4 linked regions of the Astyanax mexicanus genome follow. The protein of the gene in region 1 purifies or fractionates together with the protein of each later gene. This does not show direct contact. Links are inferred from orthologs where the notes say so. Each region holds a gene or a part of one and is shown in the gene's direction. Other genes may lie near its edges. The genes, in order: eftud2, bcas2, znhit2 and tssc4.

The links.
Region 2: the proteins of eftud2 (region 1) and bcas2 purify together in Homo sapiens (affinity purification with mass spectrometry; 3 studies listed by BioGRID and IntAct, with this or other methods). This does not show direct contact. The link is inferred for Astyanax mexicanus from reciprocal best matches to the Homo sapiens genes EFTUD2 and BCAS2.
Region 3: the proteins of eftud2 (region 1) and znhit2 purify together in Homo sapiens (affinity purification with mass spectrometry; 4 studies listed by BioGRID and IntAct, with this or other methods). This does not show direct contact. The link is inferred for Astyanax mexicanus from reciprocal best matches to the Homo sapiens genes EFTUD2 and ZNHIT2.
Region 4: the proteins of eftud2 (region 1) and tssc4 purify together in Homo sapiens (affinity purification with mass spectrometry; 4 studies listed by BioGRID and IntAct, counting the BioPlex papers as one, with this or other methods). This does not show direct contact. The link is inferred for Astyanax mexicanus from reciprocal best matches to the Homo sapiens genes EFTUD2 and TSSC4.

What each region holds. Positions count from the first base shown.
Region 1 is NC_064426.1:27,201,382-27,208,884, forward strand, and holds the start of eftud2 (116 kDa U5 small nuclear ribonucleoprotein component), read left to right. Parts: upstream 1-4,484; 5' UTR 4,485-4,629; intron 4,630-5,631; 5' UTR 5,632-5,670; coding exon 5,671-5,772; intron 5,773-5,956; coding exon 5,957-6,140; intron 6,141-6,395; coding exon 6,396-6,474; intron 6,475-7,503. UniProt on the Homo sapiens protein: Required for pre-mRNA splicing as component of the spliceosome, including pre-catalytic, catalytic and post-catalytic spliceosomal complexes. Component of the U5 snRNP and the U4/U6-U5 tri-snRNP complex, a building block of the spliceosome.
Region 2 is NC_064419.1:2,129,358-2,136,540, forward strand, and holds the start of bcas2 (pre-mRNA-splicing factor SPF27), read left to right. Parts: upstream 1-4,167; 5' UTR 4,168-4,257; coding exon 4,258-4,350; intron 4,351-5,256; coding exon 5,257-5,349; intron 5,350-5,519; coding exon 5,520-5,590; intron 5,591-6,037; coding exon 6,038-6,199; intron 6,200-6,307; coding exon 6,308-6,358; intron 6,359-7,183. Other genes in the region: dennd2c (DENN domain-containing protein 2C), read left to right, coding at 670-915, 1,191-1,277, 1,363-1,394. UniProt on the Homo sapiens protein: Required for pre-mRNA splicing as component of the activated spliceosome. Component of the PRP19-CDC5L complex that forms an integral part of the spliceosome and is required for activating pre-mRNA splicing.
Region 3 is NC_064427.1:14,889,954-14,897,589, reverse strand, and holds the start of znhit2 (zinc finger HIT domain-containing protein 2), read left to right. Parts: upstream 1-4,630; 5' UTR 4,631-4,730; exon of another isoform or gene 4,731-4,833; intron 4,834-5,039; exon of another isoform or gene 5,040-5,129; intron 5,130-5,144; exon of another isoform or gene 5,145-5,697; intron 5,698-6,400; 5' UTR 6,401-6,425; coding exon 6,426-7,636. Other genes in the region: mrpl49 (mitochondrial ribosomal protein L49), read left to right, coding at 2,672-2,782, 3,177-3,324, 3,947-4,071, 4,278-4,424. UniProt on the Homo sapiens protein: May act as a bridging factor mediating the interaction between the R2TP/Prefoldin-like (R2TP/PFDL) complex and U5 small nuclear ribonucleoprotein (U5 snRNP).
Region 4 is NC_064430.1:8,174,771-8,182,717, forward strand, and holds the start of tssc4 (protein TSSC4), read left to right. Parts: upstream 1-4,939; 5' UTR 4,940-5,040; intron 5,041-7,798; exon of another isoform or gene 7,799-7,800; 5' UTR 7,801-7,853; coding exon 7,854-7,927; exon of another isoform or gene 7,928-7,944; intron 7,945-7,947. Other genes in the region: anoctamin-5, read right to left, coding at 1,422-1,497. UniProt on the Homo sapiens protein: Protein associated with the U5 snRNP, during its maturation and its post-splicing recycling and which is required for spliceosomal tri-snRNP complex assembly in the nucleus.

The sequences.
Region 1 (7,503 bases):
TTGGTACAGGGCCTCTGGGAAAGTGAATCTTTCATAGCCCACAGTAAAGAAGACCCCTCACTCGCTCTCAAAAGAATGTGCACACACACAAACACACACACACACACACACACACACACACACACACACACAGGAAATAAACATGAGATGCATGAGGACATGAGATGATATTCCACCCAGTGGAATCATAGATTTATTGGAAGTCCATGTAAATATATGGGCGTTATGAGAATCTCTCTCTCTCTCTCTCTCTCTCTCTCTCTCTCTCTCTCTCTCTGTCTGTCTGTCTGTCTGTCTGTCTACTTGTCAGTCAGTCTGTCTGTCTCTCTCTCTCTCTCTCAAAGTCAAAGTTTCTTAGGTCACCTAGGTCATATAAATGGAGTAAACTACTTGTATTTATAAATTTGCAATATAACTTAATTCATTTTAGATTAAAAATAACACATTTTTTAATTTGTAATAGTGTACTAATGTAGCAAATTCTCATTGTAGGCTGCAAAATTTAGATTTTTTAAATCTGAAGTGGTAAAGCATTTACAAAAGATAGAGGGAGTGCAAGAGAACATAAAAATAATATTACATTATTTTATTTTACAATAATATAAAAAAGAGAACAAATTTGAGCACAACTAACGTAAGACTTACAGTAGAATAACATTACAAATAAAATAAGGGGAAAATAAGGTAAACAAAAAATGTATAAATGTATATAAAACAAAACAGATAAAAACACAGATTTTAAAACATGAGAACAAGAATATATAACAAAAAATCAAAAATAAATATATCGATTAAATAATAAACAAAATGACAACTACTAAATAAAAGTAATAAATACAACAAAAAATAAAATAAAAATAGCTGATTAATAATACAATTTAAAGATCTTCAAAATGATGAGTGAAATCTTTGCTTCATCTTTAATAATTAGTCAGGATGCAAACAACACATTTTTGAACACTAAACATTTTTAGTGTAGCCTACTTTGATGAGATGATCATTTACATAATATTACAAAGGCCATCATTATATAAATGATTGAAAATGTACACATTTGTTGTGCAGTTCTAATGTAAATTAATACACTTCTTCTAATTAGAGTAAAAAGCATATGTGCTCAGTCTCCATTTCTCTACTGATTACTATAATGATAATCCTAAATCATATTGCATAACACTGCTTTTCTCATTCAGTTAGGATCATTCTGTCTTGTCTCCAGGCATAAGAGATAAGCATAGCATCATTGGTAGATACAGCTAACACCCCTTTATTACATACATTATTTATAATAAAAGCATCTGTATGGGTCTTTGGAGTGAAGCCATATGCAGAAAAAACTATTTTCCACAGATTTCAACAGATTTTCAAGTCAGAATCCAGTCAGACTGTTAAATGTCAGGGACATCAGTCATATCAGTCGAGTGATGTTTATTTTATGATGTGAAGCCCTTAGCTTTTAGCAATCTGCTAAGCTATTTATAGTGTTCAGACTGTGTTCACTGACTGAACTTTGAGACAATTAGCTTAAATAACATACTGTGTTTATTACTAAACAATATACCATCAGACATTGCTCATGCTGCCTTGCCATAAGTACACTGGACAGTGTTAAGCCTCAATCACCAGATAAATCCTCACAGTTTATACAGGTGTGGGCATTCTGAAGCCATTCCCTGAGGTAACACTTTCGGCCCTATTTTAGCGATGTATTGGCAAGCCGTCAATTGCACACTGTGCAGCTTAATTTAGGGCTTGTCAATGTGTCTTTGCTATCGTAACGTCGGGAAAAGTATGCCTTCTGCAGCTCAAAATGTGGAAAAGGCATGTGTTAATTGTTTTAATTAATCATGGATCTGTTTTGGGAAAGAAACCAAATAGCATGACCCGAACTCTTGCATGGCAAGCATTTTTTATGTCTCTTTTATTCGGGTTAATTGGCACCAGATTAGTGCAAAAACAGAGAATTATCTTTGCATGATGGAGTTTCTGGAAAAAATAAAAAATAAAAGATGTCCACATATGAGGACTTTAGTTTTATATTTGGATAGAACACAATGTTGCACTTAGTAATGATGTGCAAAACATTTATTTTGTGCCCAGAAGTGCAAAACCAAAGTAGAATCAATTGTGCCTCTTTGAGCAGTATGGCTCATTTAAAGTGCTGCTTCAACACAAAGACATAAAGTAAAAATCATAACATTTACTGTATTTACTGTTCATTTTCAATTTCTGAACAATATCACAACTGTAACGTGTTAAACTCTTCTGCCACCACTAGGAGGAGTATAATGGTCTCAAAAGAGGAAAGCAGGCCCTTGTAGAGTAAAATTTAGTGTTGTGGTCTAGACAACCCAATATGTGATGTCCACACATGCAAATGTCAGGTCCTAGGAGGTAAAATATGTTAAAATGATGGAATTCTTTGCCTATAAGGCAATGTCTTAAACCCGTCTTTCTGTTTGTACGTCCATGTCTCTGTCTGTCTGTCTTTCACTGCCACTGTCTGTCCCTGTCAGTGTTTCTCTATCAGTCTGTTGCCTGACTGACAGTTTTCCGGTCTTATCTTCAGGCTTTTCTCAGTTTTGATCTGGTGTTAATTAAATATGTTAATTCAGACGTCCATTGAAAGCCTTTATATACATGAACAAGCATCTGAAATAGTCTGAAGCCTGTTTTTTGATGTCTCTCCTTCAACCTCCCACCAACCTCACTTCCAACAGCAACACACACACACACACACACACACACTCTTTAAAGATCAAATTCATTTTTTTCTCTCTGAAGACGGGTGACTTTAAAGTTTATTGATTTTGGGGTAAAATAAAAAATGAAATCTGCCTGCATTGCTCTTCAAAAGATTCTCCATGTCGTCATTCCAAAAACCTCAGGTCAGGTCATGCCTGTGTGCTGCATGTAGGCCTGTATTTCTGCGGCTATTTTTAGATGTATTCAATTTACTAGGTATGTGTTAGGCTGAACTCTCCATTCATTTTAAATGAATGGCCTCAAAGAAATGCCTACAATGTTTTATAGGTCTGTTTTGCTGACCCATATTATAAATAGAGAATATACAATAATAGAATCAGTTATTACAGAACAGTGTGTTACAGGGGTGATACAGATTCACTGTAGACACTGCATAAAAAAACATTATTTTTTCCCACTTGAAAAATCACTTGTTGTTGAAAAAGCACTTTACAGCATGTGCTTAAAATACACGAGTATCCAGTAGGTGACAATTGGGTAAATAAGAGTGAGTTAAGTGTGTTAAAGTGTCTGAAGTGGAGCCAGTGTCAAAATGTAGCCGACCATTTACAGTAAACGCTTTCATGTTCATATTTATGTGCCTGCCCATGTGGAGGGCATTGGTGTTAGCCATTATTTTATCAAATAAAAGTGTTTTAAACACTTGCCAAAGAGTATCCAAATGGTGGAATTTCATTTAATCAATGTGAAATACAGGTACAGATTTAGAGTTGATATTCCACAGACTTGTTTACTAGGCAGAATATTATTTCAGTAATTAGCACTCCAGGGTTAGCATGCTGCTAACTGCACTTTGTAACTCTTGCGAGAACTGTAAAATGCTGTAACCTGAGACATTTTAGCTTAAAAACGTGTAATATTACTCCAACGCCTCAGTCCACATGCTATTTTCACTTTAGAGGCTAGTTCTGTTTCTTTCACCTTGTCAACAAATGCATATTTAAAGCACAAAAAACTGCATTAACAGCATCGAGAAAAACCTGAAATACACTCCTTACCTGTAGGCGGAGCCAAGATCCACACAAAAAAATAAGATAAAACATAAGATAAAATTATTCATTAAAATAAGTATTAGTAAAAGAAAAAAAAGCTAAAAGCTGTAAATAAAAACCAGGGTTATTCCACCAAATATTGATTTCTGGACTCTTAAAACTTGACTGAATATGAACTTGCTTTCTTTGCATTATTTGTGGTCTGAAAGCTCTGTCTCTTATTTGTTATTTCAGCTATTTCTCATTTTCTGCAAATAAATGCTCTAATGCTCTTTATTTGGAATTTGGGAGAAATGTTGTCCGTAGTTTATAGAATAAAACAACAGTGTTCACTTTACTCAAACATATACCTATAAATAGCACAATCAGAGAAACTGATTCAGAAACTGAAGTGGTCTCTTAATATTTTCCAGAGCTGTATATCGGGGCTGGTGTAATGGTGTGTAAGGGCGCCTTCTTCAGGCCTCTTAAGTTACTGCAATGTAATATTTTAGCTTTGCATTCTGTTTTTTGCCTCTTTTTGCCTGATTCTGTGTAAGCGGCTAGAAACGCTTAAACACTTAAACCCTTTACCTTGGTGTAAACCGCACAGTATGACCGTATAATCGTGTTGTTTCTTTATATCCACGGCTGTGTTTAATGTTTAGAAAACCGCTGCACGAATAAACATGTGCTGTATTTGAATTCAGGCACATTACGGGATACCTGTATTCGCCGCGACGTCAGTAACGTTCGCCTTACGTTTCGGTTGTGCGAGGACCCGGCGGTGTGCAGCCTGGTAACAGTGCGAGGGAAAAATAAATAAATCAGTGAACAAATAAAGCGGATTGTACTGTTTCCGGAGTGAAACAGAGGCTTCGGTTAATCGCAGGTAAAGTCTATGCTGTCCGTTTGAGATCTGAGTGTGAATTTGAGCGTAATCAAGTGGAGAAGCTTTAGATGATCTGATATTAAACCCGAACCCATTCATTCACATGGGCTGAGCCTGAGCACGAGCTGCGTTACCTGGATTTAACGGTGTAGATAGACCGGTCAAATTCGAGCAGAGCCTCGTACATACAGTTTTTTTTATAAGCCGGTTAAATTGAGGGAGGTTTGGGTATTTTTTTAAACTAGCTAGGCTAGCTGAGCGTTGTTTGCTTGCTATAGCTAAGTTAGCTTAGCTTAGCTGAAGGCTGTGTTCCCATTGGCGCCCTTGTGTTGTGTTTACTAGTAAATTAGGCTGCTAAATAGCCCAGAAGTTTAACACTGGTTCGTGTGTTTTATACAAAGACAGGGTGGTGACGATGCAAGTCGCAGAAATTATGGGATGCACGAAATCCCTAATGCTGTCCATACACTACACGACTTTGAAAAGACTCTGAAAAGACTTTTAACAGACTGAAGTCTGACACCCTCTCGCACATACATACATGCATACATGATGTGTTTTGCTACAACCTTGTATTGTAAAGAATCATAGTTTCACTGCTATACATTTGCCTTTGTTTTAGATTAAAATTAGATTGAAATTGTGAAATTGCTTGAAAATCATTAGGTGTAAGGTGGTAGGATTAGTTCTAATTCTGATATTATCTTGTAGCTTGATGATCCTTGCCTTCTTTTTTTCCCTTCTCAGTTCAAAGGTTGTTTTCACTTAGAATGCTGCTTTTTGTAACTCATTTAATTAAATGCATTCATTTCTATGATTTGATGTGTATTAGCCTTGTTAGGCTAACTATATTTGAAATAAGCTTCTGGATCCAAGCTGAAAGGATTTTATACTTGATTTCAAGTATAAAAGTAGAACAATAAAACCAAAGTGTTTATTGTAGCTGGTAATCTGCACACTAAGAGTATTCATTTAATCTCTCTCTTTCAATATTGCTGCCAGAGGTGCTGTTGACACCCCATCGCACAAGGCCGCAACATCATGGAGACGGATCTGTATGATGAGTTTGGTAACTACATCGGGCCAGAGCTGGACTCTGATGAAGATGAAGATGTAGATGCAGAAGACCGGGATGCAGATGAGGTAAACAGCTCAAATAAACTTTGTGCGTAATAATCTATTTACAGGGCTGTTTATCTGTGTATTTGTTGCTTTTAATATTTTAGCACACATCGAGTTTGATTTGAGTTTGAGTTGCTTTCTGTTCCAACTTGGTATTTCCTTTATTTTGGCAATGTGTGTATAATTTAATGTGTGGTTTCTGCAGGCAGATGAAGATGACGATGATGATGACCAGGTGGAGGGGGATGAAGATGGTGGTGGTGGTGGTGGTGGTGGTGGGATGGAGGTGGTGCTTCACGAGGATAAAAAGTACTACCCTACTGCAGAAGAAGTGTACGGGCCGGAGGTAGAGACTATAGTCCAGGAAGAGGACACCCAGCCTCTCACTGGTAAAGGACTTTTTTTTTTTTTTTTTTTTTTTTTTTTTTTTCTATATGAGGTTCATTTTTTTACTTTCTTTTAAAATGTTCTGACATCAGCAAATAAAAAAAAATGTGATTGTAATGTGATGTGTTGTGTAGAATTTGTATTTAAAACAGTAAAACCTTAGTTATAAAAATTGTAGTCACTGATGCTGCATCTAAAACTGTTCTCCCTCTTACTTTCCCTCTCTGTCTGTCTGTTTCTTTCTCCTTCTCACATAGAGCCTATTATTAAACCTGTGAAAACAAAGCAGTTCACTCTTATGGAGCAGGAGTTGCCAGCTACAGTTTATGACATGGAGTAAGTCTTTGTTGCAGTCACACTTATTTAGTATTGGGGCATCTGCTCATTCATTGTGTCTTCTAAAATCAAGGGTATGAATCAAGTATTAGTCAAGTACAGGATATTTTCCAGAGAATAGTTAAAGGTTATATATATATATAATATGTGAATTACATATGTAATATTTATATCTCACATTTTTAGTCTATTTTAATATACCTTTTCACTGAATATATGATACATTGTTACAATGTAAAGTAGTTTGTAGTGCTGGAAAATGAAAACTGATATGGACTTTTTACATACCACCATACCGCTAGAGGCATTATGGAGCTGTGTAGAATAGCACCGCCAAAGAAACAGATACAGCTTGTTAGCTAAAGATAGCCAGTTAGCTTCACAATCTAACGCACTGGTGCGATGGTAGGTCTGCCCTGTGAAGTCAAACTTTATCTAAGGAGCTCCTGTTGCTGTTCGTTGCAATATGAGTGTTTCTATCTAAGTAAAATAGAAAAACAACATCAAAAAGCAATTATTCACTCAGAAGAAAGACAAATGGAGTTACACAATCAATTCACATCTTGTGAAAAAGTTCCTCTCATTGCCCAGAAAAGCCTAAAAACAGTCCTGAATGCAGAATCATTTATTCAGCACAAGTGTTAAAACTCCCTAAAATTCTGAATACGAGGTGCAAAAAAAGAAAAGAAAAAAACAGTGATATACCTTCAAACTCGCAGAGCTCCTCCATGGCATCACTTCAGAGCTGGGGGATGTTGGAGACCTTGCGCTCCTTCACCTTCCACCTTCTTGGCCAGTCGAGCATTTTTACCCTCAGTTTCTTTGATACCTTGTATCAAAGTGTCATATCATTCCCATGAAAAGATATAATTAGGTATTTACAAAAATAAGGGGGGTGTTCTCACTTGTTGCAATTTAGGTCAATAAGAGTCTGGTCAGGGTTGAGTGAAAGCTGAATGAAACATAGTACAGAGATTAATGAAAACCTGATCCAAAGTGCTCTGGACCTCTGACTGGGCTGAAGGTTCA
Region 2 (7,183 bases), on another chromosome or scaffold:
AACCTCTAGCCAATAACCCTGCATTACTGCATATTACCAGAATAAATGCCAGTGATCAGCCATTTGGTTCCCACATAGTCTCCAGCTCTTATTTTCTGCATTTTTTGTAAAATAGGTCTGCAACAATTAGGAGATGGGTCTCCAAAAGTGCCCAAACACAACAGATTACATATTTAATCACTAAATATCCGTACTTTCCACGTTTAAACAACATCTAGAGAATTAAATGTCTTTTAAATATCTCATGTTAAGCTGTTTCTATTGTTTCTATTGTTTTTAGAGGTGGAGGACATGGCAGAAATATTCGTTGACTAATAATCATTAGCTTAGTTGACAAATAAAATGATCTGTAAAATGTATCTTTTGTTGTGGAGTCATTAAAAAAACGAACCAAGCTTTTCTATCCAAATTCACAGCATATATAGGACTTGTTGAAAATCACATATTTTGAGCCTCTTCTCTTCTGAAATAATAAATTGCCTCTTTCTCCCATTTATTTATTTATTTATTTTTATTTTATGTGTAGAATGAGATTTTTTCCATTATAAAACCCTTGAGGTCTTTAACATTTGTATAAATTTTGAATTTAAAAAGTTTAAATTGATTAAATTAGTTTTAAATTATTTTTTTTTGCCGTTTTTTCCTAAACCTGTTGTTCTCTCCCTGCAGTGGAGTGTGATCTGAGTGCTCTGGTGTCGGAGGCGTTTGTGCGTTTCTTCGTGGAGCTGGTGGGACATTATTCTCTGCACATTGGCGAGACGGGGACGAGCAGCGGCGTCCGCGAGCTGAACAGAGACACGTTCAGGAAGTCTCATCCGTCCCGCAGGGTCCGCCAGTTCCTCCAGCTCTTCATGGACACACAGATGTTCGCTGGCTTCATCCAGGACCGAGAACTCCGCAAAGGGGGCGTCAAGGGTGAGTGAGTGATCCAGGGTTTGGGGAAAAAAAGTTCTTGTGTGTGAAAACAAACCAGCAAGCAGCACAAACAAGCCAAGAATTGGTCCTGGGTGTGTTCTTAAGGTCTTAAGGAGCTAGTTTAGTTTTATCTTCATTACTAACCCAGCACATATATATATATATATATATGGTCATGGAGACGTCTGTGAGTCAGACGTCTCCATGAGTTCTTTTTTTTTTTTTTTTTTTAGTTGAATGTGTTTTAGTTTAATGTGTTTATGGGTTTCTAACAGGCCTGTTTGAGGTCAGAGCAGCAGAATACCTCGCCTCCTGCCCCGAACCCGAACCCAGCGGAGTCAACAAATTCCTGAAGGGACTCGGTAAGATAGCGTCTTCACCTCCACCAAAAAAGGAAGCATTATTTCCCCCTCTTTCCTCCCTGTGTGACAGTTTGCTGTGTTTTAGGGAACAAAATGAAGTTCTTGCAGAAGAAGTGAGGGATTGCCTAACGCAGAAGGAGGCCGGCGTCGAGCGCCGAGTGACGAAACCCGGCGCAGGAGGCTGTGATTCAGCGATCAGGCTGCGGCGATCCCGTTCCTCTGAGAAAAAGAAGCGATCAGAGGGGCGGAGAGACGAGAGAGACGAGAGGTCGAGCCCTGAAAACGCTCCTGCTGGGAGCGCCTGTGCAATTTCAATCGGTTGAAAAACTGGAAATGGACTTTTGTAAACAAGCAACAAAGAAGGACTGAATTAGAGCGGGAGGAAAGGGAGGAGGAGGAGGAGTGTGTGTCATGTTACTGTTGTGTAAAGCAGAAAGCTTTGGATTCGTGTCGTTTGTGCCGGATTGTGTCGATCTGTGAGCTAATGAAGTAGTTCTCTTCACACTAACCCTGATCTGATCTGATCTGATCTGATCTTTCTTCGTCTTTTCTGTGACTCTCAAAAAACAGGACATTTTTATTTTACATTTTTTCTATATTTTACTCCTCGTTCTTTACTCCCAACTGCTTTCCAAACTGGAAAGTATTATTTTTAGAGATAAATATAAATGATTGAGATGAGGAGGTGCTTCTCATCTCCTGCAGAAGTTGTGTATATTTATAATTCCTCTGAGGCACACTGATTATGCTTCTCGATAGATTTTTAAAAGTCTCTAATTATCCTTTTATCTTATTTTTCTTTTTAACAAACTAAAAGTTTGTGTTGTATAATGTCTGCGACGACATATTTCAAAATGCTTTTATATTTGACATTTTGTACAGTTTTATATGTGTGTTTTGTATAACCAAGGAGCTTTTTTTTTGTCTTTTGTGACTTTTTCAAATTAAATGCTTTCATATAAAACCTCCTGTAATCATTTAGTCATTTGGTGTGTGGGAGCTTTTTGCTGATGCAGAAGTTCCTGTAAATGCCTGATTTACGTGTGATAAAGGCTTTGGAAAAGCTGGCAAATCAAAACTGGCAAGTAAGGGCTTCAGGCATTGTAATTAACATTTCATATGCGCGAGCACTGGCTGTGTCTCAAATCAATTACTTGCTCCCTATGTAGTGAATAAACCTTTCCTAAACTCAGATTTTCAGGGAACACAAAAACATATTGCTGTTGTTATTGCTGTATAAAATTTAGCAATGGTTTAAGAGAATAGTTCTAATTTAACATTTAAAAAATATTGATTGAAAAGACAGAACGTTAGCATTTAACATTTTTAAAGCCACAAATTGTAGAATTTCCAGCTAGCTTTATGGACTTGGTAATTCTGCTGACTAAAAAAACTAAACAACTACGCAATATGTATAAGCAATTAATCCTTTAAAAAGAAGAAATAAACTATGGGTGATACATAATATGAAAGAAATAATATATTAAAGAATCCAGTACTGTTAATAATGCTTTAAAACAAACTATAATTGTGTATATATATGGTGCTTAATTATATGTAAACATTTATAAGTAAAATATTGTAAAATAACTGTAAAATGGTGAATATATTGATTATAAAAGGGCGGTGTTAGTTCAATATAGTGTTCCATCTCTTTTTTTAAAGTCAAAAAAATATATGTTTTTTTACCTGAAAATTTAAGTTTATTCATATAAAACCTGGTATAAAGTTTATGATAAGGGCAGGATCCTCATAAACCTGAGAGGCTGCCCACTCCCTGTCTGCACACCACTAGAGGGAGCCCGCGAGAGAGTCTCAAATATATGGGGGTGAATGGAGCTAAACGGCTAAAAACTCAAATTAGAAATAGTTACTAACCCCTTTTCCAGGATATTCCTTTATTTTAGGACAGTAGAAAAGTATTGTATTTAAAAAGCAAAGAGCATTACTGCTACTGTGAGCTGATTGGTTGGTGAGATGATGATGCTGGAAGTACAGTCAGCGCCCTCTGGTGGCAAAATTTATATATTTTGTTCTCTTTTTCCTGAACAAAATTAATCATAAATGAACTGTTATATAAAACAATTATTGAAAATAAACAGACAATATAAAACTGACAAAATAAGAGAGCACTTAAAAATGATACGTTTCTTTGATTTTACCAAATTGAAAACCTGCTTGAATTTCTGCACCAGGAGTAAAGCAGCATAAAGTTATCCAAAAGCAGTGTGTAAGACTGGTGGAGGAGGAGAACATGATGTCAAGATGCATGAAAAAAACTGTGATTAAAAACGAGGGTTATTCCACCAAATATTGATTTCTGAACTCTTAAAACTTTATAAATATGAACTTTCTTTGCATTATTTGAGGTCTGAAAGCTCTTAATCTTTTTTGGTATTTCAGCCATTTATCATTTTCTGCAAATAAATGCTCTAAATGACAATATTTTATATGGAATTTGGGATAAATGTTGTCTGTAGTTCACAGAATAAAGCATCAATGGGGGGTCTAAATATTATAAATATTATCAAAGCTTGGTGTATCTCTGGATTCTAATATCTACAAACTAGCTATGGATATTTTGAAGTAAAAAACGGGCTTCTGCTAAATACCCTGAATATAATGTAAATGAGTGGGGTAATTTTCTTTTAATTTAAAAAGTTTTTTTTTTTTTCGCATTTTCAGATTTCATTAATTGGGACTTGATATACAGTTGAATTTTATTCTAGTAGCATGTAAAAAAATATTTTTTTTTTTAGTAAATTTAGAAGTATGAATAAAAACTTGTCCAAAATAAAGAAAACATTTATATTAAGTGAAATTCTCTGTAAGAGATTCTGTGGTTCAGGTTGAAGGGTATATTCTGGCTGGGATGGGTGTTTTTCCTCCAGGCCTGCGGGCGGCGCTGGTTCCGCTGCGGGGTGAAGGGCTCAGGCGGGCGGCTGCGCGCTGCTGCTGCTGGAGCCGCTGCGGGAGAAACATGGCTGGAACCTCGTCGGTAGCCGGTGAGGTGTTCGTGGACGCGCTGCCGTATTTTGATCAGGGTTATGACGCTCCGGGAGTCCGGGAGGCGGTGAGTACCGGGCGGGGCGGTAACGGAGACCCGGGGCTGTTTAGTTTAGTTTAATTCAGGCTGCGGATCTGTGAGTTTAGAGGAGACGCAGCGTGTTCTCCCTCCTAAACAACAGCCCGGTGTTGCGTCCAGTTACGCTACTCGCCGATACCTGCTTTCCAAAGGCAGTGCGCATGCGCTGACCTAGAGTTATTATAAATTTTCCTGTTTTTTATTATAATAAATCTGTTTTTGTCGTGTCTTTTGTGTTTTAAACAACACGAACTGACTCATTTCATAAAAGTGTAAACGAAAATTAATAATAATAAATACAGTAGCCAGTTTATAATAACCTCCCATTGCCTTAACTTTATTATAATAAAGTGATTTATGCTATTCAAATATACTAAATCTACATCTACTGGAATTTCTACTGAAAACAAGCTCTAATACGGATTTTCTGTTAAATATACACTTGGGTAGCAGGATTTGATATGGTTGCACAATTCGACAGAACACCGGCCTGAGCTGCGCTTCCTAAAGCCGAGTTACAGCCTCTAAACCACCGGTTATATACTCTGTATATACGCTGTAGTGGTGGGCGGTATGATCATATATCATATATCACGGTATTTTTCAAGATTTAAATCATAGATTGAATATCAATGTATTTCTTTATTTTTCTATGTTGGATTTCCAGTGAGTGCATGCTGGGAATTGTAGTACCAAGTTTAACACAGCCAGATCAACGAGGCTGCATATTATTCCACAATAAATAACAGATTAAATGCTAGTTTTGCACCCCTATAAAGTAAAAACAAGTACTAATAAAACAGCAATTGTGATTAATTTACTAAAAATTATAACAGCCTGTACAGTCAATAACACTATATCCTTCTATAACTGATGAACATGTTCTGTTTCCAGGCTGCAGCCTTGGTGGAGGAGGAGACCCGGCGATACCGGCCTACAAAGAATTACCTGAGTTACCTGCCAACACCTGATTTCTCTGCGTTTGAGGTAAATAGATCCTGATCCTGTTTCTATTCACAGATTCTAGTTTGGCTGTGACTCACCTGGTTGTGTGTTCAGTAATATTATCCATAATTGATTGATCGATCGATTGATTGATATAAGATGTTCAGTAGTGTTATTATTTTTATTTATTTTTTTTTTTCCTGCACCCAAAGACTGAGATAATGAGGAACGAGTTTGAGAGGCTTGGTGCTCGCCAACCTATGGAGCTGCTCAGCATGAAGAGGTAGGAGATCCTGAATAACAGATACAAAGACCAGTGGGTTTAGTATATTGTGTGAAATATATTGGTATTTTTGAAATAGGGCTGGATAATGTGCCAAAGATTTATTATAAAATAATTCTTAACTTCAGTTGATACAAAAAACAGCTGAAAAAAGTACTTTCTCTTATCTTTATTGAGAAAAACTATTCACTAATACTTATTTGTAAGTGGTAAAAGTATGTGAACTTTTGCTTCTCAAATTTAATAAAAAGGCTTTTTAAAAAAAGGGAGGAGTAGTTTGCGAAAGAGGGACTGGGTGATGTATGGGTTTAGGGGTGTGGGGCAGGAGGAATTCTCGCCTGTAGCACAGTTGAACCTGAGGGGGCGCTGCAAAGGCAGAAATGAAAACAGAAACACAGCTATTATTGAGTTTTGTGGCTCACTGCCTCCTAATGTACGTAACTTCAGATACGAGCTTCCAGCCCCCTCATCCGGACAGAAGAATGACATCACAGCGTGGCAGGATTGTGTGAATAACTCGATGGCCCAGCTGGAGCATCAGGCCGTGCGAATAGAAAACCTTGATCTGATGGCCGAGTACGGAACCAACGCCTGGAAGTTTTCTAATGAGTACGTATTAAACTGTAGTAGCTTTTGACTTTTAGTTTTAATTATTGTGTTTTTTTTTTATAAAGTAAAACTGTATGTTTATTTGCATCTCTTATTTCTGTTTAACAGTAATTTGGCTTTCATGATTGAAAATGCACAAAAGGAACTGCAGAAGGTTCGGTAAGTAACTGTTGGTGTGTGTGAACAAATGATCTTTAATAGAAAAGTCTGTTTAACTTGGTGGCCATCTTCTTTAAAATGGTACTGGATCTGGATAAGTGGGGAGAGACTAAAATACTCAACTTAATGGTAAAAATAAATATATATTAAAAATTGCATTAGAGAAATCTCATTAATAGTTTCTAGCGTTTGGTATAATAATGCACAAAAAAATGTTTTATAGCTTTTTTTTTTTTTTTTTTTTATGTTTGGTAGCTTTTTCACCAACCAGTAAAATGATGGGCGGGACTTTATCTGTAAACAGATGCCATATTGGTAGTTGCATGAACTCTTTTTTTTTTTATTTTATCCAGTTTCTGATCTTCTAATTTATACCATCTCTGTTCTGTATTTTTATTTAAATATTTTATTTTTATTTCAAATGTAGCAGATATTTCTAATTCTAAATAAAATTTCAAGCAAATTTAATGAGGAATCTGGCATGAAATAGGTTTCCTCCAATCATCCCCAGCATTGAGAAATAAAGCACTTTTTGCAGATGCTCCCACCAGGGTCACAATGCTAGGAATAGGGGCATAGCATCTGCCTGTGCAAAAAAAAAAAATCACTATTTACAACCTTAACCAAGATCAAAGTAGCTCCACACTTCACTGATAGAATTCTGAGGGCTCTACATTTAAAATGAGGCAATGAGAGCTTTAAAAGTGCACATATATGTTTATTAAAACACTGTTTGTTTATATAGTGTTTAATAAACTGTAAACTATAATTAATACACAGTGTTGTGCTGCAGTGCTTTTCTCTGGGGATTATATGGGCTGTGTT
Region 3 (7,636 bases), on another chromosome or scaffold:
GTATGACAATTAATAAAATGTGCAGGGCAGTGGCCCTTAAAGACCAGGATTGAAAAACAGTGTAATAAGCAATAGAATAGGCTCTATCAAAAGACCACAAATTAAACGGTGTCACTGAAATCGTTTCATACCTACACTGCAAAAATCTAAATATCAGCAATTGAAATGATATTTTACATTATTTAAGTAATTCAGAGCCCAAAACAAGCACATACGTTTTTTTTCATGATGGTGATTTATGATGACTGATTTATGAATTTAAGTGTAACGCAAACACCTAGATTTTATTGATTATTTTTAAAGAAAATTTACCAAGAAAAAAATAAGCAAAATGCTGTGCAAATGCTTTAACTAAAATTTAGACTTTTAGACTTAATTTAGACTAATTTAGACTTTAATAGAATGTAGATAAACAATAATAAACGAGAATATAGCAAAAAATATATATATATATTAATTAGACTGTTCCAGGAACTTATATACAGACACACATAAGTACACACACATCAGAAAAAAATGAATAATAAAAAATATAATTATACCAGAATGTGATATAGAATATAAAAGAGATATATGAGTGTGATAACTGTGAGATTAGGCTAAATACACATGTAATGTGTGTGCAGACATGAACAAGGTCGTTACCTGTGTCCATATTAGTTATTAATTTAAAGTCATACTATTTTTGATATTTGATATTTTGTATTATGACACTGGAAATATTATATAATAGATTTGATGGTCAAATCTAGGGGAATTATCTCATAAGTCTTAAGTCGTCTCAAAAAAACTAAGATAAGACACAATGTATCACATTGCGGCACAGTTAAAAGCTCCACAGGACAGTTAAAAAGCTCTGCAGGACAGTTAAAACAGTTAAAAACCTCCGCGGTACAGTTAAAAAAAACTCCGCGGTACAGTTAAAAAACCTCCACGGTACAGTTAAAAACCTCCACGGTACAGATAAAAACCTCCACGGTACAGTTAAAAACCTCCACGGTACAGTTAAAAACCTCCACGGTACAGTTAAAGAGCTCTGCAGGACAGTAGGAGAGTGTCGCAAGACAGTAGGAGAGTGTCTCGGGACAGTAGGTGAGTGTCGCGAGACAGTAGGAGAGTGTCGCGGGACAGTAGGAGAGTGTCGCGGGACAGTAGGTGAGTGTCGCGGGACAGTAGGAGAGTGTCTCGGGACAGTAGGTGAGTGTCGCGGGACAGTAGGAGAGTGTCGCGGGACAGTAGGTGAGTGTCGCGGGACAGTAGGAGAGTGTCTCGGGACAGTAGGAGAGTGTCGCGGGACAGTAGCAACAGGACAGGGACAGTTTTTGCTCTTACTGCTGCTGTGAATAATTGGGACAGCAGTAGGATCCTCCTTTGAGGATTTTGTTTTTAAAGCTTCCACAAGGGTCAGCCATATGATTTATATGGAGTCCACCATGTTGTCAAAACTTCGAAGTGCAATTCTGAGCACACCTTCTGTCTTCGATTCAAATCTACAAAGTATTCCAAAGCTAAGGTTCAAGGTATGTTATTTTGTAAAATCTTCCTGTTCTATCATTTGTTCTTTTGTTTAGTTAAAAAATTTTTGTGTGTGAACAAATGAGAGTTATTTAATTAGTTAACTGAAACATAAATATTTTCTCTTTTTAAACAAAAGACGAACAATGAATGAACGGCCAGTTCCTGCAGGTAAATATACTGTAAATCTGTGCTGATCTCTCATTTAATAATAATTTAGCTAAGAATTAAGTACAGAAAACAAAGGAAGATCTATTGAATTCTTTAATCAAATACAAAAGTTACAAACACTGCTCTACATCACCAGCCCAGACTCTTTGAATACTTTAATGATCATCTGTAAAGAGGAAGGATAATAAACTAAAATGTGATAGCCCAGAGTTTGACAGCCGGTTTAAACCCACCGCTAGCCTGCTAGTATACTGTGCCGATTCTGACATCTAAGATCAACATTGTTTTAATGCATTAGCGATGGAAAAATGTACTTTGATTCAATGTTCTTTTATTATCTAGCCATTTATTAATGAAGACTTTAGCTTTTAAACCTGTTTTTTTTTTCACTTTCAATCAATTAAATTACAATTATTATTTTAAATTAATTATTAATAAATAACTTAATAAACAAACTCACCGAAACAGATTCAATAACAATAAAGGCCAAAGTCTTTATCAGTTAATTCTGCGGCTAAAATTCTTCCGCATATACAAGACCCTCCTGTCTGTTTGAATGGAGAGAGACTGAAATATTCATTACCAAATCTAAGATACTCATTTGAACAACATATTTTAAATAACATGTTGATAAAATCCAACAAAAACCTCATGATTTGTAAGTTTGTAGCGTCTGGTTCCATAATGCACAAAACAAACGCCAGAGGGAGCCCGCGAGTGAGTCCTCAATGATCCGAGGTGAATGGAACTCAACGGCTAAAAACTCATTTTAGAAAGAAAACAGAAATATCCTGGACAAGTGGTGTTTTTGGTGAAGTAAAGACTTCACCTTTATTTACTATATAAATATGTGTATACGAGTTTAATAAAAAGTAACTAATCTGTGTCGTTTCGGTGTTTTCCCACCCGTATTCCAACATGTCTGGGTCTGTATGAAAACGGGTGAGAAATAAAATCCGCTCTCTCTCAGCGTGAGTCGGGAAAGATGGCGGCGTCCTTTAGAAGCGTGCTTATGACTTTGAGTCCGGGGTGTTCCTTTAGAAGAAGAATTGGCCTTCCAGTTAGATATGTGGTTAATGTTGGAGCCTGTGTGCAGGTGAGTTAGATTTTATAACTTACATGCATATTATGTTGTGTGGTTGTTGTGCCGCTTGTCCGGTAAAACTCGAGATCTGTTCTACCTTAAAATGTTCCTGCTGCAGCATTTAAGGTGGAACGGAAAATTCAAATAGAAAAATGTTTGTGTGCCTCGATAACCGATTGAGGACATTTTTAATTATTGATATAATATGATTTTACACGTAAAATCATATTAAGTGCTGAAACAAAGACCATGTGGATGAGTTTTCTTTAGGCTGGCAATCATTGTAGGTAGATCGATGTGATTTATATTTATTTATGTAATGAAAAAAGCGCTTATGGACATGTTCAGTGCCCTGGTTGTTCGGTTTCTCCATGTTCTCCGTTATGATTGTTTATCTGTTTTTCAGTCAGAGCACAGCAATGTTGGTGGAAAGGGAAAAGTAGTTGAATCTACAGAGGAGTATAAATTCGTGGAGAGGCTGATTCCCCCGACACGGGTCCCTACCCCACCTAAACATGAAGGGCCTACACCATCAGGATGGACCCCTCCATCAGGTAAAGCGGTGTGTCCTGGTGGTCGGTACAGTTGTGGCAGAGTGACTAGTTGATTGGCATGACTGGAATGATAAAACAATCCATATAGTGATGCTCTGTCTTGAAACAGGTTATTTTGTATCTATTTTAATATTTACTTCGAAATTTTACTAGAATTTTTGTATAATTGCAGTTTAGTGCAATATATATCCACTAAATGTTCTGTAATGTAGTATTTTGGTACCTTTTTTGTTACATAAATTGAGTTTTGTTGTTAAACAAAAATACTAAATTTACACGTTTGTAAAACGAATTTTTGAAATTAGTTAAATATTTTTTAATTGTTTTGTTATTGTCAAGAGTATTGTCATTGCAATAATACACAGAATATCATGATATTATTTTATAACAGTCTTGATTGAGCTGTACTATCAGTGTGACCAGCTTGAATAGCAAGATAAAGCTAGAGAAAGCTTTTTCACTTTAGTACTCAAACTTTAGTATGATCAGCTTGATCAAAGTGGGGAAAAAACAACTTGGACAGTTAGCAGCTGCTCTTCATCTGGGGGGTTCAGTGTAGACAAAGGTTAACATTGCACACAACAATTAAAATATGTCTTTTCTTTTTTTTTGTTTAAAAAAGAGACACCACCAAATCTGCCATACATGATCCGACGCTCCAGAATGCACAATGTTCCTGTCTACTCAGATATCAAACATGGAAACCAGAAGAGCACTATTGTACGAAAAGTGGAAGGAGACATCTGGGTGAGTTAAGTGTGTATATTTTGTCCTCCATGCTCCAATTAAAGGGTCATAATGATTTTTTTCTGTCAACCTCTTTATTCCTTATAAATAAACTAATTGTTTTTTTAACCTTACTCTATGGAGTTCTGATTTGCTGCCTTAAAGGTAGGGATGCTATCCCCCTCTATGCCGAAAGCTTTTGTTTATGAGCTCAGTTTGTTTTTCAGGCTTTGGATAAAGATGTAAAGAAGTATCTGCAGCAGCTGACTGGCAGAGAGCCACCAACACAAGTTAATGAAGTCACCGGGAGCATTCGCATTAAAGGGGAGTTTGACACAGAGCTGAAGGAGTGGCTGGTGAAAAAGGGGTTTTAAAGTGCTGAAAATCTGCAATGTTGTGTTTACTGGTAATTTAGGATGGACAAAAAAATGGCTAAAACTGTATGAGGAGAATTCCGACATGTTTATTACTTGCAGTGCCACATTTAACAATGTAAATATATATATTTTAATGAAATCTGGATGCTGAGGTGCATTAAATCTGATTAGAGTTAATTATGCTCATTAAGTGCTGACCGTATCAGCCATTTAGTCAGTAATGTTTATTGTGGTTCACTTCTCACAGTAATTGCACTGTCCACCCCTACAGTTAATACCAGCTGATCTGCCAGTGGAGCAAAGGTGAATATTTCTCACTTGTTTTTGTAATGTATTTCTTGTCTGAAATGTGTAAATAAATTAAAACTTGAAATAAAGATAAAAAAAACTTGTGTATTATTATTAACTGTGCTTGATGTGATTAAGCTATACTTATTAATTGTATATAATACAACAAACAAATATGCAAACATGTAATTACTATTATAATCATGTATTTTAGTATTAGAGGCATATCAGTAAATAATTAAATATTGACTGTAGAAAGTGGATTATTAACTGAATGTATACTTAGAGAAGGCTGGTTTATTTACTGTTTGCCGTTACGGCTGCGTAAATGTAACGCCGCATGAAGCTCGTGAAGGCAGCGCGTTTTGTGTACGTCATCATCGCGAGCCTTTCGCCCGGGAGCAGAAGCAGCGCGTGAGTGATAAACAATAAACTGTACAATTCCTGTATTAAAGGCGGAATACTGCTGTTTGTAGTGGAACGTGGTGGTGAAGTAAAGCAAAAATATGGGTGGCTTCAATTGGTCTCAGACTTGTCTGGTATCTTAAATGCCGATTATGGTAGAATGGACAATTTCAGAGATAACATTAGCTAAAATGAAACGAGAGTAAGAGAGACTACAGAACAATTGTTAACAAATAAACGTTACAGATTTTATTTGTGCTTCCACTGTAAATCTAATTTTGATTTGTTGTATTCTTGATATGTTGACCCTTTGGTTAAATGATTTATTGAGGGTCTTGAGAGTAAATTCAGTGTTTCCGCATTAGCACGTAGTTGTGAAGTGAAGTAAAAACAATACATCTTGTCAATACTTGTAGGATTATCTTTCGCTGCAAATTACAGCTGCAGGTCTTTTGCGCGTCTAGTGACTTTTTTTTTTGCTTTTCTTTGCAAAACCGTTCAAGCTCAGCCAGGTGGATAGAGAGCGTATGTGAACAGGACGTTTCATGTATTGCCACAGATGCTCAATAGGATTAAGGTCAGGACTTTTTGGCCGTTCTAACAGATAACTATTGTTTGATCTGAACCATTGCACTGAAACTCTGGCTGTATTGTAAGGCTAGAATGTTTTTTGGAGAATTGTTCTGTATTTCTCATAGAGGCTTTCTTTAAAAAAAACTTTTTCATAAAGACCAGATTGGAGTAAACAACCAATAGTTGTTTTGTGCACAGATTTTTTCCAACTTCTCTGTGAATCTCCGCAGTTTCACCAGAGTGACCATAGGTCTCTTAGCTGCTTCTCCTTGTGTGAGCTGTTGGGTCCTTCTGTTTTTGCATGATTGATTGAACAGTGCTCCGTTAGACCTGTAAACATGTTATTAATCTGCAAATCACAAAGACAAAAAAAAAACAACAACTATTAAGGCACTGTCCACATTTAGCCTCATTCTGAACAGACATCACTGACTCACTGTGATGTTCGCATATTCATAAAACTGAACTTACCCTGTCCACACACCCCCACTGATGGTGAAGTTTCAAAATCTCCACTTTGAAAGGCATTTTCTAAAAGCACCGTTTTCATTGACCTGAAAACTAACGAAGGCAATTATAAAATCCAAACGTTTGTGGGTGTAATAATTAAATGATTAATAATTAAGTGAACAAAGCTGCAATCAATTTTTAATGAAATGTGATGAGTTTGATTGAATGTTTTTGTAACTGTTTCTACTTTTTTGCAGGTAGTAGCTGCTGCAAGATAAGTGTATGATGGAAAAGATGATTAGAGGGAGAGTTCCTGCGAGTATGCAGACATTTATGATTGACATGACTCCAGAGAAGGAAGAGCTGAGAGACTGGGAAGAGGGGGAACCCGACCCTGTAACAGGACCCTTTCAGACTGCATCTGAAGCTCTGCTGAGTCCAGCTGGAACAGACATGGTGGCCTCCAGACTTTGCGGACTCTGCTTATCCAAATCCTGTTGCTACACCTGTCCCAGGTGTAATGTCCCGTACTGTGGACTCAGCTGCTACCGTGGCCCAGCTCATTCAGCGTGTTCGGAGGAGTTCTATAAGGAATTCGTGTCCGAGGAGTTGAAGTGCTCTGATGTCACAGGGGACGAAGGGCGAGCTCAGATGCAGGAGATCCTCCTGAGGCTGAAGAGCAGTGCTGCTGTGAGCGGGGGGCTGGAAAATGTGTTAAAATGTGAAAAGGAGGAGAGCAGGGAAGATGTGACAGAAAAAGATTTTGTGGCACTGGAGTTGCTGACCAGACTGGCAAAACTACAGGCCAGCGGAAAGGAGGAAAAGGAGGTTCAGGAAATACTGCAGAAACTAAAAAACATGGAAGAAGGTCCTCACAGTGAAGAAGAAGAAGAAGAAGAAGAAGAAGAAAAAGATGAGACTCTTGCATGTAAGCTTTCAGGGGTGAATATTAACTCTCTAACAGAAGAGGAGCTCTGGGATCTTCTGCCATCCCAGGACAAGGAGCAGTTTGAGCGCCTTGTGATGGCAGGAGGTATCGCAGGCTTGGTGCCACTGTGGAGGCCCTGGTGGGAAAGACATGAACAGACCACCAAATCATTTGTAGAGGAACTACAGTCAGAGAAGGATGAGGCACAACTGAGTGACCAGAAGGGAGGACAGGGTTTCACAGGTCAAAATGCAAATAAGGAAACACAGATGAACAATTTACAACCAGTTCAAACAGACCAGTGCCCACCCCAAGTCAGACAGGGTCTTAAAAAACAGAACGTTTTGTCCAAAAAAAAAGGCGGCCCAAACTCTGCTCCACTTATCAGTACTAAAATCCTGCCCCTTCACAAACTGTCCTCCAGCCACTCCCCTCTAGTCCAGTTCAGCATGGTCAACACCCTTTACGGCTATGCCTTTTCTCTTTGTCTGTTTAATGGAGACATTTCTGAGTCAGAGCAAATGCTGGACTTTTGCCGAACAGTTTTGGAGATTTCTGAGAGTCT
Region 4 (7,947 bases), on another chromosome or scaffold:
GTTTGCAGAAGCCTAGTGTTAAATGAAAGGTACTAAAAGATATTTCATTCAAAACAATGAGATCAAAAGGTAGGAAACCCCTCCTCAGAGAGTTTAGCCACAAACTACCAGACTACTGTTACTTTCAGACACTGTAAGGGATTGTGAGCTAACCTGGCTCAGTCCTAAAATTAAAAATATGAAAAGCTATTTCATCAAACCCACCAAATTTAAACGGTAGGACACTAAAAATGTTTAAATGTTAAGTAAATGGGAAAATATTGATAAAATACTTTAATATCTTTCAGCATTTTATAATATTTAGACCATAAAACCACTTCAGATATCTACATGTTGGTGTAAACAAGAGAAAACAACAACAAACAAGTACAATAAACAAGTAAACCTAGAGAACAACAGTGAAAAGACGTTTAATGCTAGTCTGCAGAATCCTAGTGTTAAATAAAAACCCAAATAAGTTCAAATGGTAGAAAACTAAACATGTTTCAAATAATAAGCGGTTGGGAAAATATTAACAAAACACTTTAATATCTACATAATTTGCGTAAACTTAATGTCTTTATCTTATAAACATGATTATTAACATGATTCTATTAGTATTTTACTCTATTTATGACCATATTAACACATTAGATGTCTACATGTTTGTGTTAAAAATACAAAATCACAACAAACTAGCACAACAAGTAAACCTGGAGAACAACAGTGTGTAAAGAGGTTTAATGCTAGTCTGCAGAATTCTAGTGTTACATGAAAAACCCAGTTCAAAGTTCAAATGGTAGGAAACTAAACATGTTTTGAATGTCTTTATCTTATAAATATGATCATTAATATGATTCTATTAGCATTTTATAATAGTTTGACCAAAAAAAAAACACATCAGATATCTACATGTTTGTGTTAAAAATACAAAACCAACACCAACAAGTACAACAAACAAGCAAACCTGGAGAACAACAGAGTGTAAAGAGGTTTAAATAAAAAGCACTGAAAGCCATTTCATTCAAAACAATGAGATGAAAAGGTAGGAAACCCCTATCCAGAGAGTTTAACCACAAACTAACAGACTGAACTTTCAGACACTGTTTAAGCTTGTGAGCTAGCCTAGCACGATGTACAGGTATTTAAGGTATTTAAAGCTATCTATCTATCTATCTAGCTAGCTAGCTTTCTATCTTAGTTTTAGTGGGCTTCTAACCAAAACCAGCCTTACTGTAGTCCAGTCTATTGCTTAATCTAACCACAGGAGGTCATTTAATCTAATTAAACGTGTCATAAATACAGGAGACTGTCTGTTTTCACCACAAAGCGTCTCTCTCACACGAGCCAGTCCATTCTCTCCGCTCAGACTGGTGTAAATCAGTGTATCAGAGCCGGGGTTTATTATTATGTAGAAGGGTGTTTGGTAAAGCAGGGTTTACCTTCTACATGCGCGTCCGCCGTGTTGGTCATCTCGATCAGAGTGGCATCTTTGGTTTTCCCCGTTATTCTCTTCATTTTCACTGAATATTCCTCTGATAAAAGGCAGGGTTACTGGATCCAGGGCTTCTCCTGGTTGATAAAGGGTTGAACGCGCTCCCTATAGTCCTTAAAGATTCCTACAATCCATTCAGTCCATGCTGAAGCTGCTGAAAGCTCCTCCAGCTGTGCGCAGGAAATCCTCCTGAGATCGAGCAGCGACCGGATTGTGGCTCATACAGAAGAATAGGGAGCGATGTTGGCCTTAAAGGGGAGTGGCTGAGGAGTGGGGGGAGCTACTTTACGTCGGCATACGTGTGTGTGTAAATATGAGGAGGTGTGTGTGTATGAGGAGGTGTGTGTATGGAAGGTTAAATTATGTGCCAAAGATTTTACACAAAATAATAAAATATGCATAACAAATATCTGTATATTATTATATTTGTATGTAATAAAATACAATGTATATTTTCTTTTATCATTAATAAAAAAACATACATTGCTGTGATCTCTATTGTATTTTTATCCCAAATCTCCGTCTCAGCTTATCAGGTTAAGATCATGGGATTGTGGAGGCCAAACACTTTTCAGTTTTACTGTTTACTACATAATTACATATACAGCTCTGAAAAAATTAGAAACTCTTCAGTTTCTGAATCAGTTTCTCTGATATGTGTCTAAGTAAAATGAACATTGTTGTTTTATTCTATAAACTACAGACAACATTTCTCCCAAATTCCAATGAAAAATATTGTCATTTAAAGCATTTATTTGCCATATTTGGCCTCAAATAATGCAAAGAAAACAAGTTCGTTTACATAAAGTTTTGTAAGTTTTAAAGTTCAGAAATCAATATTTGATGAAATAACCCTGGTTTTAATCACTGTTTTAATGCATGGTATTGTGGCGGCTCTGGGTTGTGTGTGTGGCTGCCTGTAGGCATGGTTCTGTTCTCCTGTGTGCAAGGATGACAGGGGTGGGGCATCTCCCTTGGGAGGGGTTATGCAGAGAGGGTGGGCACCACTCTGGATCTGCCATCTGGGAGACACACAGCTGGGTTGGTGGCCTTTGGGCTATTTGAGTTCTGTGGGAAAATGGTTTTAGCTCTCCTAGTCTTGTTAAAGGCTGTAAGTGAGTGGCAAGCCGGTTCAATAAAGGAGCTGTTGAGCGTTCAGCATGAGTCTCACGGGTCTTCCTTCCTCTTCCACGCCACAGTATGTTCTCCTCCACCAGTTTTACACACTGCTTTTAAATAACTCCATGCCACTCCTGATGCAAAAATTTAAGCAGTTCAGCTTGGTGTGATGGCTTGTGATCATCCATCTTCCTCTTTATTATATTCCAGAGGTATTCAATTTGGTAAAATCTATGAAACCTATGCTTTCATGCATTTCCAAACATGGCAGAATAACACGTTTCCAAACCAGTAAACTGAACTGCAAATTTTTGGGCTGTAATTTCAATGACAATACTGTAACATACTGTAACAGTAATATATTCCCTAGCTCTCTCCATGCAAATCACAGTAAAGCAAAAAAAATGTTCCTGCATTTTATCTTGGAATATATTTTTATATTTTACAGTTAGTCTTGTACATTGAATTTGTTGTCTACAAATTGAAAAAAAAAAATAATAATAATAAAATAATAATAATAATTAATATATTTCACTTATATAGAGATTTATTCAGACAAATACACAAAGAAAATACAGTAAAACTATACTTTTTTTCACCAGTGTGCATTTATAATTAGGCAGGTGTGTTTACAGTACCAGTGGAGAAGCCTATACCCCATGTGACCCAGCTGTGATAGATAATTTAAAAGCACATGCTCTTGCAGATCACATCCCTTTAGCACTTTAGCATTATAGCCTCTGCATCACATCTGCTCACATCCCCTCTCAAATCTAAAGCAGCCTAGGGCTTTTCTTTAATGAAGACTTAAAGGAATGATATCTCACTAAACAGCTGGAACAGCTGGCAAACAACAGCTCCAGTGACTGTGAAGAACGGGCAGTGTCTCCCCCTGCTGCATAGAAACCCGCAGTACATGACAGAGGCGCTCCCTGTACCGACCGACCAGTAGTGATGGCAAAAATGGTCCTAGATCTTTTCTGAGACCCTTTTTTATAAATATATATCTTATATAAGAAAGGTCTTTTGACTTGATAAAACACAGTGGATCAACACCAGCAGATGACATGTCTCTCCAAACCATCACTGATTGGTGGAAACTTCACACTAGACCTCAAGCAGCTTGCACTGTGTGTCTCTCCCCTCTTCCTCCAGAATCTGCTCGCTTTTACATTTCATTTACAAATGAAATGTAAAAATTACTGATGATCTGTGATGGTTTGGAGAGACATCTCATCTGCTAGTGTTGGTCTAAAGTCAGTGCCTTTTTCCCCTCAGAAAATCGTACATTTTATGAAGATGGGGATTTCATTTTCCAGCAGGACTTCCAGCACACTTTCCTAGCTGACAAAAGTACAAATTAGTCTTATATAATATTCAAATTTTCTGAGACACTGATTAATGGGTTTTTATTGGCTATAAGCCATAATCTTCAAAAATAAAAATAACCTCTTAAAATAGATCACTCTGTGTGTAATACATCTATATAATATATTAACATCCTTTAACATCTGTAAGAAGCTTCTGTAGATGTTCTACCAATCAATCGTGGCCAGTATTCTCTTCTATGCTGTGGTGTGCTGGGGAGGCAACATGAAGAGGAGAGATGCATCACGGTTGGACAAGCTAGTCAGGAGGGCCGGGGCAGTGGTTGGAATGGAGCTGGACTCTCTGGTTACAATAGCTGAGAGAAGGACTTTGGATAAACTGCTTTCTATCATGAACAATGATAGTTACCCACTTCACACCACCATCATGAAGCAGAGGAGTGTGTTCAGTGGCAGACTGCTGTCACAGAGCTGCACAACAGACAGACTTAGAAAATCCTTCGTTCCGAGAGCCATCAGACTCTTTAACTCCTCTCATCGGGGACGGGATGCTGCTGCCGACTGAGTTTAATCCAGTCACACCACATGGACATTATTCAACCACTTAATTATTTACACTAACACTTCCCCAACCTCACTTACATTCAAGTACACTTTACTCATGATTGAGTATTCACATTTTCACATTCTTTTTTTCTTTTTTAGAACTATCTTCTAACGGATGCATATATATATTTCTACGTCACATCAGTCACTTTCGTAATCAATGTCATTGCACATTGCACTTTACTCTGCACTGCTCCTTTTACAGATAGATCCTTACCTTGTATAGTTAGGTTTTTATAGCCTTATATAATTTCTATTCTTCTGTGTTTTGATTTGTCTGAGTCTTATCTATCTATCTATCTATCTATCTATCTATCTATCTATCTATCTATCTATCTATCTATCTATCTATCTATCTATCTATCTATCTATTAGTATTTTACATGTTTATACTGAAATAAGGTAACTTTTCAGTGATATTTAATTCTTTTGAGATGCACAGGTGTGTCTGTTGTGGGCCAGTAGAGGTCAGTACGCGACTGTGAGTTGATCTGAAGACACGAAGAAGGAAAGGTAAGCGTAGCTGCTGAGCTAGATATGGGAGAAAGTAACGTCTTATATTGGGATTAAACTCCTTTATATAGCTGAGTTATTGCTCTCTGAGTAAAGTTGCTATCTTGGTTCTGTCCGGCAGTTGGAAAGACATAGATTAGTGGTCTGAATTATACCAGAAATCGATATATATACATACAGCTAGCTTAGCTGTTAGCCTCCAGCATAGCTAACTTAGCTAGCTTAGTCAGATAACTAAGTAACTTACATGCTGTGAAGGATAGTGAGGTTAGCAGGTTAGATAACTAACCTACTGCCGTTAAATACTAGATATAGACATTTCTTGTCCATTTTAATTGTGTTTTTGTGTGTTTGTATTGACTAAGCGTATACCTTTTTCTATTCCATTTAATGTTTTCCTCAGATTTGCCTTAATATAGCTGTAGTGATAACTACAAGTAACGTTAACTTAGATGTTTTTGTTGACTAGGAAAGAGCTGGTGTTGTGTCGCGTTGTGCTACCCTGATAAACCGTGCTACCCAAGTGAATATTAACAGGCAAAAAAAAAAACACCACATTAAAAAATGCTCCCGGTGTTCTGTCGAGATGTGCTACCAACCAATTTGTGCTTCTTACAACCATTGCGCATGCGTATGCCCACATTTTTAAAAATAGTTTTCTTTTTTTGTGTTTTTATGTTAAATCTGTTTTACTTTGTCGCATTTAATAAGCAGAACCAGCTGCCAGAGTGTTACACACGTGTAAAGTTAATAATAAAGCTAATAAAGTTAATCATACAAGTAATAATGAGACAATAAATAACAAAAAAAGAAACTGTTGTTCCCTGTTAACTGTTCCCTTCAGGCATTCCAAATATCCTACCAAAACTTCTGCTGGGAGCTTTTCAAAAAACTGTGCCTTTCTGGTATTTTAACAAAATACCAGAAATAATAAATAAATAACAAAAAAAAGAAACTGTTGTTCCCTGTTAACTGTTCCCTTCAGGCATTCCAAATATCTAGGGCTGGCCCGAATAGCGTTTTTTTGAGCTCCGGATATTCGGCACTGATTCGAAGCGAATATTCGAATATTCGTTTTTAAAAAAAGAGGTAAAAAAAAATAAATAAAAAAAAAGCAAATCACGGCCCCTTTAATCCACTGAAAAATGTTCAATTTGCTCTGACCGACGAGACATATTCACCCCGGATTTTTGGTGTTTTTATCCCCCATATTTTTTCTGTGTTTTTAGCTCAGATTTCTTTGTGTTTTCATCCCGGAATTTCTGCTGCCCCACACGCGGCTTATCCGCTGCGTAAGCAGGCTAGGAGGCTGCTGCACGGTTTCTCCGCTGTGCAAGCCAGCCCAGTAAATTGCTGTTTGTGTTTTCACACTTAGGCTATTTGCTTAAAAAAACAAACAAAAAAAACGTTTGTTCAGGAAGTATTTTATATTCTTAAACATTGGTAATTATATTAGAGGACAGTCATTGTAAACTGTACTTGGTCTATTTCGGTTAAAGGATTGTGCAGGGCATATTACTGATTTTGTATTTTTGCACTTGGGCTATAAGCTCAATATTAAATATTTCGTTTGTTTAGAAATTATTTTATATTTTAAACCATGTTAAATTATATTAGAGTAGAGGAAAGTCATTGTTAATGACGTTATTGTACTTGGTCTATTTCGGTTTAAGCATTGTGCAGGGCATAGCCGTATTACTGATTTTGTATTTTTGCACTTGGGCTATAAGCTCAATATTAAATATTTCGTTTGCTTAGAAATTATTTTATATTTTTAAACCATTTTAAATTATATTAGATAAGAGGAAATTCGTTCAGACATCATTTTTGTAGGCCAGGCTTTTGTAACCGATTTAGCCCCTACTGTTGCCACATTACCCCTTACGTTTTATTATATAAATCAGTTTCGAAGAGCCTGCATTTTTTTTTATCATGTATAATAGAGGTCTGCGCGAGACTGATTTTTAAACCCACTCTTCCACGCTCCCGCGTTTCTGTCTCGTTACCGCTCCGCAAAAAAATTGCTTCTTTTAATCCCGCGCCCGCCCGCCACATAGTGCGGTCCCGTTCCTTACCCCAGTCCAAACACCATCGGTGTGTGCGTGTGTGTGTCGGTCCATCCTGCGCGTTGAGAGTTTTCTTTAGGTTTTTTTTTTTTTTTACAATTATTACAGTTTTCTTAACTATTTATTAATTTGCTCCCGCATCGTCTGGATTAAACTCCCGCTCCAGCCAATAACAGTTCAGTTCTGTCCCGCGCGCAAGATATTCTGACGGGACCCGCGAAAACAGAAGTGGTTAGAGTGAGGTGGAACTCTGGAAAGGAGAAAAAAAACGAATATCCGAATACCAAAATTAAAAACCGAATACCTACTCAACGAACGAATATCCGAATACCCGAATATTCGGGTCCAGCCCTACAAATATCCTACCAAAACTTCTGCTGGGAGCTTTTCAAAAAACTGTGCCTTTCTGGTATTTTATCCTAATATAAAAATAAGTATAAACTAAGGTAGCACCTTTTCACAGAGTAGCACAACTCGGCAGAACACCGGTAGGAGTCTATGTTAATATCCTGAAAGGCTATATCACTGTATCGGGCATAGGATAGAATCAATTTTTCAACTTTTTTTTTTTTTTTTAGTTTCTAAATATAATTTTACTACTTGGATACTTTAGGGGTTTTATTCAAAGTGGTTAACTAATCCTTTAAATGTGTTTTTTTTTTTTTTTTTTTTTTTTGTTACCTTCATATCTTAGGTAGTGTCTGCATCGTATCCTCACATCCAAGAACTGGCTCACAACTCAACACTATGGCTGTGCTGAGACTCGATGGCTCTTCCCAGAAAGTGATAATCTTTTCCGAGCAGGAAATCTCGCAGAATCTGTGAGTCTTCAACCCCAGTA